3 linked regions of the Oryzias latipes genome follow. The protein of the gene in region 1 purifies or fractionates together with the protein of each later gene. This does not show direct contact. Links are inferred from orthologs where the notes say so. Each region holds a gene or a part of one and is shown in the gene's direction. Other genes may lie near its edges.

What was found.
Region 2: the proteins of heat shock 70 kDa protein 12A (region 1) and epb41l3 purify together in Homo sapiens (affinity purification with mass spectrometry; 4 studies listed by BioGRID and IntAct, with this or other methods). This does not show direct contact. The link is inferred for Oryzias latipes from reciprocal best matches to the Homo sapiens genes HSPA12A and EPB41L3.
Region 3: the proteins of heat shock 70 kDa protein 12A (region 1) and akap12 purify together in Homo sapiens (affinity purification with mass spectrometry; 3 studies listed by BioGRID and IntAct, with this or other methods). This does not show direct contact. The link is inferred for Oryzias latipes from reciprocal best matches to the Homo sapiens genes HSPA12A and AKAP12.

The regions. Positions count from the first base shown.
Region 1 is NC_019873.2:4,649,102-4,652,752, reverse strand, and holds part of heat shock 70 kDa protein 12A, read left to right. Parts: intron 1-327; coding exon 328-959; 3' UTR 960-3,651. UniProt on the Homo sapiens protein: Adapter protein for SORL1, but not SORT1. Delays SORL1 internalization and affects SORL1 subcellular localization.
Region 2 is NC_019875.2:4,930,834-4,934,484, reverse strand, and holds part of epb41l3 (band 4.1-like protein 3), read left to right. Parts: intron 1-454; coding exon 455-552; intron 553-955; coding exon 956-1,131; intron 1,132-1,244; coding exon 1,245-1,423; intron 1,424-1,769; coding exon 1,770-2,354; intron 2,355-3,362; coding exon 3,363-3,419; intron 3,420-3,651. UniProt on the Homo sapiens protein: Tumor suppressor that inhibits cell proliferation and promotes apoptosis. Modulates the activity of protein arginine N-methyltransferases, including PRMT3 and PRMT5.
Region 3 is NC_019882.2:8,913,513-8,917,163, forward strand, and holds part of akap12 (A-kinase anchor protein 12), read left to right. Parts: intron 1-2,696; coding exon 2,697-3,651. UniProt on the Homo sapiens protein: Anchoring protein that mediates the subcellular compartmentation of protein kinase A (PKA) and protein kinase C (PKC).

The DNA.
Region 1 (3,651 bases):
GATGGTTTAATTTCTGAAGAACTCCCGCCGAAACTATGTCCTAGAAAATGTCACAGACGTTTTGATTTTCATATTCATCATCAAAAGACCACTGGGAACACTTTACTAGAGTAGATCAAAAGATGATCAGAGTTTAAAGAAACTCCTGTGTGAATGTCAGAAGAGTGTTGAGGATTGGCTGAGTTGGAAGTACCAATCTAAGTGTATGAAAGTGACAAAAAATATTCATATATAAACCCATTTTAGCTGTTTTATGTTGTTACTCTGGTAGGAATTAGGAATGGATGTATTTGTATGATTTACTATTTTGTGTTTGTCCCCTCATAGCTGAGCTCTTTGAGAAGCCGGAGGTGTGCGACATTAAGTTCCTCTTCCTGGTTGGAGGTTTTGCTGAGTCGCCCTTGCTGCAGCAGGCCGTGCAGAACATGCTCCAGGGTCGCTGCAGAATCATCATCCCTCATGACGTCGGTCTTACCATCCTCAAAGGCGCCGTGCTGTTCGGCCTTGACCCCAGCGTCATCAAGGTCCGCCGCTCCCCGCTGACCTACGGGGTGGGCGTCCTCAACCGCTTCGTGGAGGGTAAGCACCCGCCAGAGAAACTCCTGGTGAAGGACGGGACACGCTGGTGTACCGACGTCTTCGACACCTTCATCGCCGCTGACCAGTCTGTGGCGTTGGGTGAGATGGTCAAACGGAGCTACACGCCAGCAAAGCCGTCCCAGCAGGTCATCGTCATCCATGTCTACTGCTCCGAAAAGGAGAGCGTGAGCTTCATCAGCGAGCCCGGGGTCAGGAAGTGCGGGACCCTGCGCTTGGATGTGAGCGGAACAGAAAGCACAGCCCAGCGCCGCGAGATCCAGACACTCATGCAGTTCGGTGACACAGAGATCCGGGCCATGGCGGTGGACGTTTCCACCGGGCGCACGGTCAAGGCTGGCATTGACTTCCTAAGCCATTAAATACAACCTTCAGAGAGATTCTGTTCCAGAGGTCCTGGGAGCAGCGAGAGGGAAATCATGCAGCTTACACTCAAACACACAAGAAGTGGTGATCCGCGGCTCAGTCACTCTCTGATGAGCTCCAGTAAACAAAACAGAACAGCTGATCTTAGGCTAAAGCTCCTACCAGAGAATTCTAAACAAAATCAGTTTTAAAACTGTTTGTTCATCCATGGTAGTACAGTGTTCCCTCGTTTATCGCCAAAGGTGCGTTCTAAAAATAACCCACATTGGTGAAATCTGCACTGTATACAACTAAAGTTGTTTTAAGGCTGTAAAGCTGCTCGCTACACACTTTATGCTCCTCCATCACACAGATATGAACATTTTCTCTCCCGTTGAGACTCAAAGTTTAAACCTTCATAGAAAAATAAGTCCAGTATTATAGAATAAAAACAAAGATCTGATCGCGAGGAGGAAGTTGATTGACAGTATCCACAGCCAATCAGAACACAGCACAAGTTAAAAAACAAAGCATGAAAGGTTGCTCTGAAGAATTCTGCAAAACGGCGAGACCGTGAAAGATGAACCGCCATGTAGCGAGGGAACACTGTAAGACCATTTCATCCTCCGTCTAAAGGCGTTGTGTTGAGCTTGAAGGCTGACTCATTTTGATTCCTGATCCTTCCAAAGCCATAAAGTGTTTCAGGACAGCAGTCCAGATTGAAGCTGTGAATCCACCGGATGGTTGTTCTTCTGAGTTTCTTAGTCACAGCAGGTCATTGTTTAGCCGTTCAGTTTGCTTCCAGCTTCACGCTGTTCAGATGACAGCTCTGCGTTTATTTATACGCTTTCAATTTATGGAGAAATTAGTATTGGGTTTAAAAATGAAAATACTATTTAGTGTGCAGTTTTAGGGGGCTGTTGCTGAAGTTCTGCTTGATTCCGTCCTTTGTCTGAAGCACGTGTCTGTGGTTTCTTTGTTTCTTAACCGTAGCATCAAATTCCTCTCTTTAAGTCAGACAGTTATTGAGCCGTGGAGCTTTTCTTAGTCGTACTAACCACAAAAGCAAAACTTTTCTGAAAGAAAACCAGGAGGAAATCAGAAATATGAAGCTAAATTGATGAAAGAATAAGAATGTGTAACTGAAAAAACAGAATAAATGGCTAACTTGAAACATGTTTTTAGCATTTATTATTATGTAATCACAAGTATTTTAAATCTATAATTTATTATGTTTAGTAGGTATTTTTCCTACTTTGAATGGCACATTCTGCCTTGTTTTGCTTGTCTTGAGGATGTTAAAGTGTGCAGTTGTGGTCAGCGACTGAAGGAAAGCTGTAGTTTTGACTCTAGAGTCAAGAGAAATGTGGAGAACAAGTTTGGTGTTTTCCAGATGTGAGCTTGCAAAGCTGCAAGACTTGGAACACAGGAAAACAAGTCAAAGGCCTCACAAAAAAGTAAGGGATTAATCTGATTAACTTATCCGTTTGTTAGTTTAGCTTTCTCACTTTCTATTTCTGCAGACTGTTTTGTTCTCCTGATGCAAAGCTCTGCAGACATTTGAATCCTGATCCTGGAAAGTTTTCACTACTACTCCTTGTTAATGATGTCCACTAACAGCAAAAGCTGCTACCTGAAGTCCTGTTTTCAGTGCTGCACATTTGATGAGGCAGAGAATACAATCCCACACGTCAGATTGTGTGGTCAACAAAGCAAAGTGTGGTCCCCTGAAGAATGCCAGGAAAGTTTGACCCACAAATGGTGAATTCTGGGGCTGAAAGTGGAGCCATCAAACATGCCTAACTGCCGCCTGTATGCGCTCATGCATCTGCGCTGTGCACATACGCTTTCTCCGCTCTCCAGCATCCTCAGCTCTGCTGCGATTGCATGACGAAGACGCCGAGCCAAATGTAACAAGGGATTTCTGTAAATACAAAAAAGGAAATACTGTACAGATTTGTAACATTGTTTGAGCAGCTTTAGAATCCGAGGACGTGTGGTTTTTCATGGACATTTCACAGCTGTTTTTGGCACCAGCCATGCATGCCGGGCCAAGACAGATGGATGTGTGGCCTTGTTTTTATTTCTTGAATACCTCGTTTTAGGGATCTTCAGTGACGTGGCTTTGAATCTGTTCACATTCATCCTGCATCCCATCAATTGCCTGAAGGTGTTTGACACAGAAATGACGAGCACGCCAGTTTTCCTCTATCACTAGAAAGAACTGAAGCCATGGACGTTGGTATAGCAATGAGACTGTACTTATTTTTACACTGTGCACCAGTTCCATCCTCTCTATAATGAAAACTTATTTAGGAAATCCTTACTTCAACTGTTTGATATGGACACCAATTGCTGTCAAGATTACTCAGCCAATCAGAACACAGAGGTTCTTTCTTCTGAACCAGAAATCACTGAGAATCAAACTGAAGTCATAGACCAGCATTAGATCCATGCACCCAAAGAGTTGACACTGCAGGTTTGATCTTTACTGCTGCTCCCCACCTGCACAGGAAAGGATAGGATCATGTATAAAGGTGCGGTAAAAGTCAACACCGACCCCTCCCTTTCTGCTGTACTCTCCTGGAGAGGCCTTTGGAAGACCAGACAGAGAAAAGAGGCTCTTATAGTCTAGAAAGCAGTCACTCGTCCAACAGCAATCACTTCAAACACGCCCACAGGCGTGTTTGAAGTGATTGCTGTTGGACG
Region 2 (3,651 bases), on another chromosome or scaffold:
TATAATGGTTTAAACTAATCTAATGGTTTAAACTAGTCTCATGGTTTAAACTAGTCTAATGATTTAAACTAGTCTAATGGTTTAAACTAGTCTAATGGTTTAAACTAGTCTAATGATTTAAACTAGTCTGATGGTTTACACCAGTCTGATGATTTAAACTAGACTAATGGTTTAAACTAGTCTAATGGTTTAAACTAGTCTAATGGTTTAAACTAGTCTAATGGTTTAAATTAGTCTAATGATTTAAACTAGTCTAATGGTTTAAACTAGTCTAATGATGTTTATTTAGTTCAGACTTTTTTCCTTGTAATTGTTAAAAAAATGAGTAAAGTCTGGATTAGTTTTGTGAAAAGCAGTTGATAAATGTTCTTTATCTGACAAACATCATGGGGTTTTCAGGCTGTTCTGCATATCATTTGACAGGAACTGATCTCATTATTTTCCTATCTTGCAGTTCGAGCAGTTTGAAAGCACAATTGGCTTCAAGCTCCCAAACCACCGTGCTGCCAAACGGCTATGGAAGGTGTGTGTGGAGCACCACACCTTCTTCAGGTAGGAGTGTGACCCTTTGGAACTGCAGCAGGTGCAGCTTTATTGAAAAACATCAGGTTAAAGTCGGTCGACAGGAAAGGATGGGATGCCTTGTTAATGAAAGACGGATGGTGGGAGTGCACGCGGCTCTCTGCTGTTTTCTGGCTTTGGGTGATGACAGAAGTGCAACCATGCAGTTTATTCAGTCGCTGTGTGTGATTTCTCTGTAGGGAAGGAAAGGCAGAGTTTAGGCTCTTAATTAGAACTTCATGCAGACTTGCTGCTTTAAGCAGAACGTGGAAAGTTTACACCGAAGGCTCCCTGGAGATGGTTCTAACGAAGAGTTTCAATGTTTTTCACTGCTTGTTTTAATTCTGCTGTTATTTCCAGTTTGATTAATGGGCACATTTGAAACCGGTTACAGGCTCGTGTCTCCAGAGGCCCCTCAGAAAAAGTTCCTGAGCCTGGGCTCCAAGTTCCGTTACAGCGGCAGGACGCAGGCTCAGACCCGCAGGGCCAGCTCCCAGATCATACGACCGGCGCCGTTCTTTGAACGCACCTCCAGCAAGCGCTACAACATGTCCCGCAGCTTAGATGGAGGTGAGGCGGCCCAAGCACCTTTTAACCCCCCTCCCCCCCTTATCATAAGAAGCATGTGCACACGTGAACCGCTCTTCACATTTCTAACATACCTGCATCCTTCTGGGCTCCAGCTACCATTGCAGAGAACCACGACACTCTGATGAAGGACAGCACTGCCGGCGGAGATACCAAAGCCGCCGCCATTATCACCACGGTAACCACAGAGAGGGAAGAGAAGACGGAGCAGGAGGATGCTCAGAAGAACTCCACTGACACGCATGAGGCAGGTGCCACATCACAGGAACCAAAGGTAAGCGGCCGTCTCACCTCTGCAGCATTCAGGCGCCCACAGCGCTGTTCTCACTTTGGGAGGGGGGGCTGTCAAATAAACAGTGGGATAAAGGGGCAGTTTTGCTTTTGGAAACCTTCTTAATTTTCTTTTCTTTAAAAAATCCTTTACATGCCGCTGCTGTAGGTTAGGTCTGACTGCTTCTCATCTTGTGTACGCTTTACTAATTGCTTTTTTTCCCTTGTCCTTCCTTTGACCCCACAACACACACACACACGTGCGTGCTGGTGTGCATTCATCTCCTCCCCATTTTGCTTCTCCTCACCGACGCACACGTCGCGCTTCGGTTGACCTTTCCTTCCATCAGCGCCCCCTTCATGCGTACACAGCCGACCCGCTCCGCTCTGAGCTCTCGTTGCCGTCATCTCCTGTTCTGTCCACCAAAGTGCGGCGGAGGCGCCGGGAGAGCGCCCATAAGAGGGCTTCATCAGTCAGTCCAGCCAAAGGCGGCATCGGGTGCCGCCGCCGGCAGGCTCGCGCCGACCGCAAAGCCGCTCTGCTGGAGGAGCAGGAGCTCTTGCTTTCGGCGCGAAAGCAAAGGCTGGAGCAGGGCAAAAGCCGCAGTGGCACGCTCTTCTCCTTCTCCCTACACCTGCCTCACCTGTCATCCATCCTGGATGACGATGGTTACATCACCTTTCCAGACCTTTCTGAGATGAGCTTCCTCCCCCACTGCGCGCAAAACTTCCTGCCCATTAAGTCCCCATCGCTCATTCCCTGCTTCCTCTTCATCTTCTTCTTCCTCCTCTCCACCTCCTTCTCTGTACCCTACGCTCTCACCCTCTCCTTTCCCCTGGCTCTGTGCCTCTGCTACCTGGAGCCCAAGGCAGCCTCCCTGACCGCCTCCATAGCCCAGGGCTACCATGACCATGACAGTTCAGAGGAAGAGGAGGTGTGTGCGTACGCCTGTCTACACCAATGCCCGCCCACGGCGGTCTGTTTACTCCACCTAACTCCATAACTGTCCTGTTTCACCTGTTCAGAGCTGACCTGCAGACAGTGTGTGTGTCCCAGTGTCCCACTCTCTGCCCAGTCATGCTCCCATCCTGTAGCAAACCTCATCATCTGCATCGCCGCCTTACAGAGGTTGAGCTGCAAGTCTCACCATTTCATTGGCTGCTCCACCTTAGGAAGGATTAGTCACAAAATCGCCACCCTTTCTTTTAACTCCCCTAAAATAAAGTCGTTCCGGTATAATCTCATTATCTGCAGAGTGATGTCAGCGCCTAACACATCTCGCTGTTACCTTAATATAAGGGTTAGAGTCACCCCACCACCACCACCACCATGGTGTGCACCTCAGACCATCAGCTGCATGCAAGACCTGTCCATGTTTGCAGCCACTTTCACTCATGCAATCAGTCTCTCAGCGGCGCCGTCCGGCTCCAGCAAAGCAGCAGAAGTGGAGAGCAAACCCAGCTAGATGTTTGTGGAATGTTTTTTTCCATCTGGCCACTCCCCTCCATCTGATCAATGCAGCGTGAGGCGCGGTGAAGCGGAGCGACCGCGGCACGTCTCAGGGAGGAGGGAGGTTGTGAAGTGTTCATGTTTCCGACCCTGAACCCTCATGGCTGTGGAGAAAACCAGGCGCTCTCCAAATTGAAAAAAATCTTCATCAACGATCGATCTAAGTGACTGATTGATGGTTTCATCTTCCTCTGAGTCTGTTTTGCTTGTTTGTTTCATTTGCATTTAGTCGTTTTGTTTGCTTCCAGTTCCTCTGCTGTTCTTGTCTGATGATGTGTTGCTCACAGTTCCAGCAGTCAGAACATTCCCATTTGTTCCATTTGTGGTTATGAAGACGCTTTCCTGACAGAAATGACATATTTGCACGTTTACAAGTTGGGTCCTTCTGGTTTTTTTCCCTGCTTGCCCCTTGGATTGGTTTGTTCTGCGGAAGCAGACGGACAGCGAACGTACTGACTTTGCCTTTGATGGAGACATTACTGTGACAGAGGTTTGTATTTTAAGCCAAACACGCGGGCCTCACATTAGTCTGTGACATTTATTGAAATTTTAGGAGTGATGCATGCACTTTCAGTTCTGCACGTCATGCATGTAACGTATGGTGCTCCTTTTTTTTCCCATTGTCGACTGAATTGTTCTTAGTTTTGGCTGTTTTCACTGTCTTTAAAGTTGAAAACGAGTCCATGAATCCATTATGCTGTTACTGTATTGCTGCAAACTGC
Region 3 (3,651 bases), on another chromosome or scaffold:
AGCATTGTTGTTCTGAGGGTGTGGTTGAAAGGCTTTGTGGTTGGTGAATGAGCTGCACGGATGAGTGGTTTTCAGTCGGAGGCGGTTTTTGCTCTGAGTGCTGCAGATCTTCAGTGGGTGAAAAGTCAACCACGCTTTGAATGTCCATCAGAAGTCTTCGTCCCAAAAGTTGACTGATGATCCTACGGCGGATTTAACTTCCCTCTGAGGCAGCATCACATCATGTGAGGTGTTTTATCAAATTAGAGTGGGATCCTATTTCCCAGTGGGGGTTATTAAATCTAACCAGAGCAGGGAAAGAGGGAGGAGGGGGGTGTCATGTTAAATCAATTGCATTCCAACACTGATTCTTCTTCACAACTTCCAGCTAGGAGTGATGGTTTCAACCCCTTTCCTGCTGATTCAATAGTCGGATATTGTCTGAAATGAGGGAATAACGGTGAAGCTGTTGGTTTGCCCCCCCCCCCCCCCCCCCCCCCCCGAATCAGCAGAGACACTGACCACACCTCGAAGACAGAAAGGGGTCGCTGTGTCTTGTCTCCGCTGGGGGGAGGGTGATTGGGAGGGTGGGGGTGACCCTGCTCTGCTTTCTTTATTTTAACTGACCACTTTTGTCTAAGTCCAAACTGCAGACACTATGTCAAGGATTTGCATACATTTGTTCAAAGTTTGCTCAGAGAATAGCAGCTATTCAAACTTCCAACCGCCTCGTCCACCCCCACCAAACACCCCCCCTCCCTCCACAAAGTTGGAGCGACCACATCGGAAACACTATCTGGCTTCACTGGAGACAATCGGTTTTTGGCTTCCAAGTGTTGCCCATCTCCAGCAGAGAGGGGAATTTTAACTATGAGCATCTGAGATATGTGACACCCTGTGAAGTGGCTAACCCCACCCATGCTCCTGCATCTTTTCCCTGTCACCCCCATGCAACCAGCTCTCCCCAAGTACCCCAGCTTTTGCACAAAAAAACAACTTGAAAGATGTTAACAGCTGTGCGGCTCAAAGAAGAAGCAGGGAGCCAAAGATCAAAAAGCTGAGAGAAAGATGCCGGTAGTCTGTTAAATCAACAGGGCTCCTCTTTCATTATGAGTGCGATGTGCAACTCCCACACACGTCTTTAGATGCTGAGTTGTCCTGCTTCTGTGAAGTTTCTGGTCAGCTCGCGGCATTAAAACTGTTTGAACACCCAAAAGGGAGCATGAGCCCCCCTACCCAGCATAAGGCAATTGAGTCAATTAGAACCACCCCAGTGCTTTTAGTGCTTTGAGAAAGTTACTAAACTTCTGCATCATAAATTAGAAGTTCTTTATTTTCAAAGAGCAGAAAGGGCCCAGTCTATTGTGCTTGTATGTTTGTGTATGCTTTAGCAAGGGAGGGGGGCTGACTATCCATCCTGCTGTGGTGGAATGTGGGTCAAGGGGACTGAGACTTTATTTTAAGGAGGGGTCGTGAGGAGTCCTGTATTGTTTGGTTTGAATGCATCATGGCCGGAGACAAGATGGGGCGTGAATGAAAAAACAAATAAACATTCCTCGGACCTCCTGGAATTCAAACTCGGTTTATATTTAGGGCATCCCAAAATAATTTTCTTTAAAAATGGGGTGTGAGACATTGCTCGGATTCCTCCCTGGAAGCGGGCGTGCCTTCATTCAGATCTTTTCCTTTGTTCAAATCCAAAGGTTTTAGTTAATTTCATCTATCTGTCAATTTAGCAAGCTGTTTTATATTTTAATTTTCTTGGAATCACTCTGAAAAGCTTTACGTCTATAATTTAGGAAATTATTTAGGCAGATGTGGGAACCCAGCTGTACATTTTTGTGTAAGCCAACAGCTTTCATAAATTAAAGAGATTTACTCGCATAATTAACCATCATCCCAATATGCTTTATTGTCTTTATGCTGCCCTGCTGTTTAATGGCAGTTTCAGAGTGGTTCCCACAGTTTGCACGCCTTAAAACAGCAGATATGTTTCTTTATGTGTAATCCTGTAAGCTGATACCTAGACATAAAACATTTAGGGAATTTTCTGGAGAGCCCATGGCTATCAGATGTGAGGTTTTCCCAGACTGCAGTGCATCTGGCAGGCCATAATTCCCCCCACGCCTCCTTCTGTCAAAACACAGACAGACATGGCAGAGAGACGTCTTGTATGTGTGGTTTGTGTCTGTTATCTCAACTTTAACTGCAATACTTGTCAGGCAAATGTTTAACTTCCAAGGAGTGACTGCTCGGTAATTGTTTAAATCTGGGTTTTAAAAGCAGCTCATGTGCAGATCAGACCAAATAAATGAAGTGAACTCTGCCTCATTTGATGGAAGTTTATCACTATTTTTTTACAGCAACTTAGTCCAAACAGATTTTTTATTGTAATTAAATTTCTAAATCCACAAAGTTGGAGTCTCAGTCAGAAACTTCTGTTTCACATTACTTAACTTTTGACTCCCTAGTTTCGCTAAAGGTTTAAGAATTAACCACAGAGCAGAATTTATGGTAGATGCAAGTGATTTGATTTCCTAATCCTTTCTTTAATTTGTTCAAATGAATGTTGTAAATCGTAACTTTGTATGAAGGTCATGTGAACATCATAAGTGATGCTTCTGCAGGATTACAGGACTGCATGAACAAGTAATCAACTGATTTGATAAAATTGAATCAGCATTTCACAGAAACATCTTTCTTTCCTTCTTTTTCAGTGGGCCAGCCAGATGGTGGGACTGTGGCTCCAAAAGAAGAGGTCCCAGAGAATATGGACACTCTCCCAGATGAAGTGACTCCCCAGCTGAATGGGGAGAAACTGGATAAAGAGTCTCCAGAGGCAAACAATATTTCATCCATAGAAGTCAAGTCAACAGAGGAAAAAGGAGAGGATGCAGGTGAAGTTGGCTTCAAGAAAATCTTTACCATTGTGGGCTTGAAATTCACAGTTAAGAAGGATAAAAGTGAGGAAACAGACCCTGTGAAGCTGCTGACGGTTAAAGACAAAGAAGGAGAGGAGGTCAGTGAAACTGAAGAACTAGCAAAGGAGAAGGAGACTGAAACTGAAGAGGAGGACAGCAAAACAGAGACAATGGAAACAGAAAGGGAGGCGTCAACATCTAAGGATCCAGAAAAGGCAGAAACCACTGATGGTGCTTCTGCTGAAGCGTCCATTGAAGGAGCCAAGGCAGAAGAAGCTGAAAAGGAAAGTGAAACCCCTCCTACACCAAAGGAGACCATATCGCCCTTCAGGAAGCTTTTCTTTATTGGGCTCTTCTCTAACCTGAGAAAGAAAAGCAGCATCAAGAGGATGAAAGAGGAGGAGGAGGCAGCAGCAAAGGGAAACGAGACAGCTGATGTAAAGGAGGAAAATGATGTAAAAGAAGAGAAAACTAAGGAGAACACTGACTCAGAACAAGAAGTCAAGAATGAGGCATCGGCTACTCCTGTCGAGGAACAACCTGAGTCTAAAGAAGAGGGGACAACCCCTCCAAAAGAAGAAAAATCCGACACAGCCACAGAAGCTCCGGCTGAAGCCTCGTCTCCTACAGAAACTACAGATGAAAGCAAACAAGAAGACCAAAAGGCAGAAGCTGCGGCTAAAGATGATGCCGCACCAGAGGTGACCTCTGACACGGAGCTGCAGTCCTCACAGGAGAAGACAAAACATCA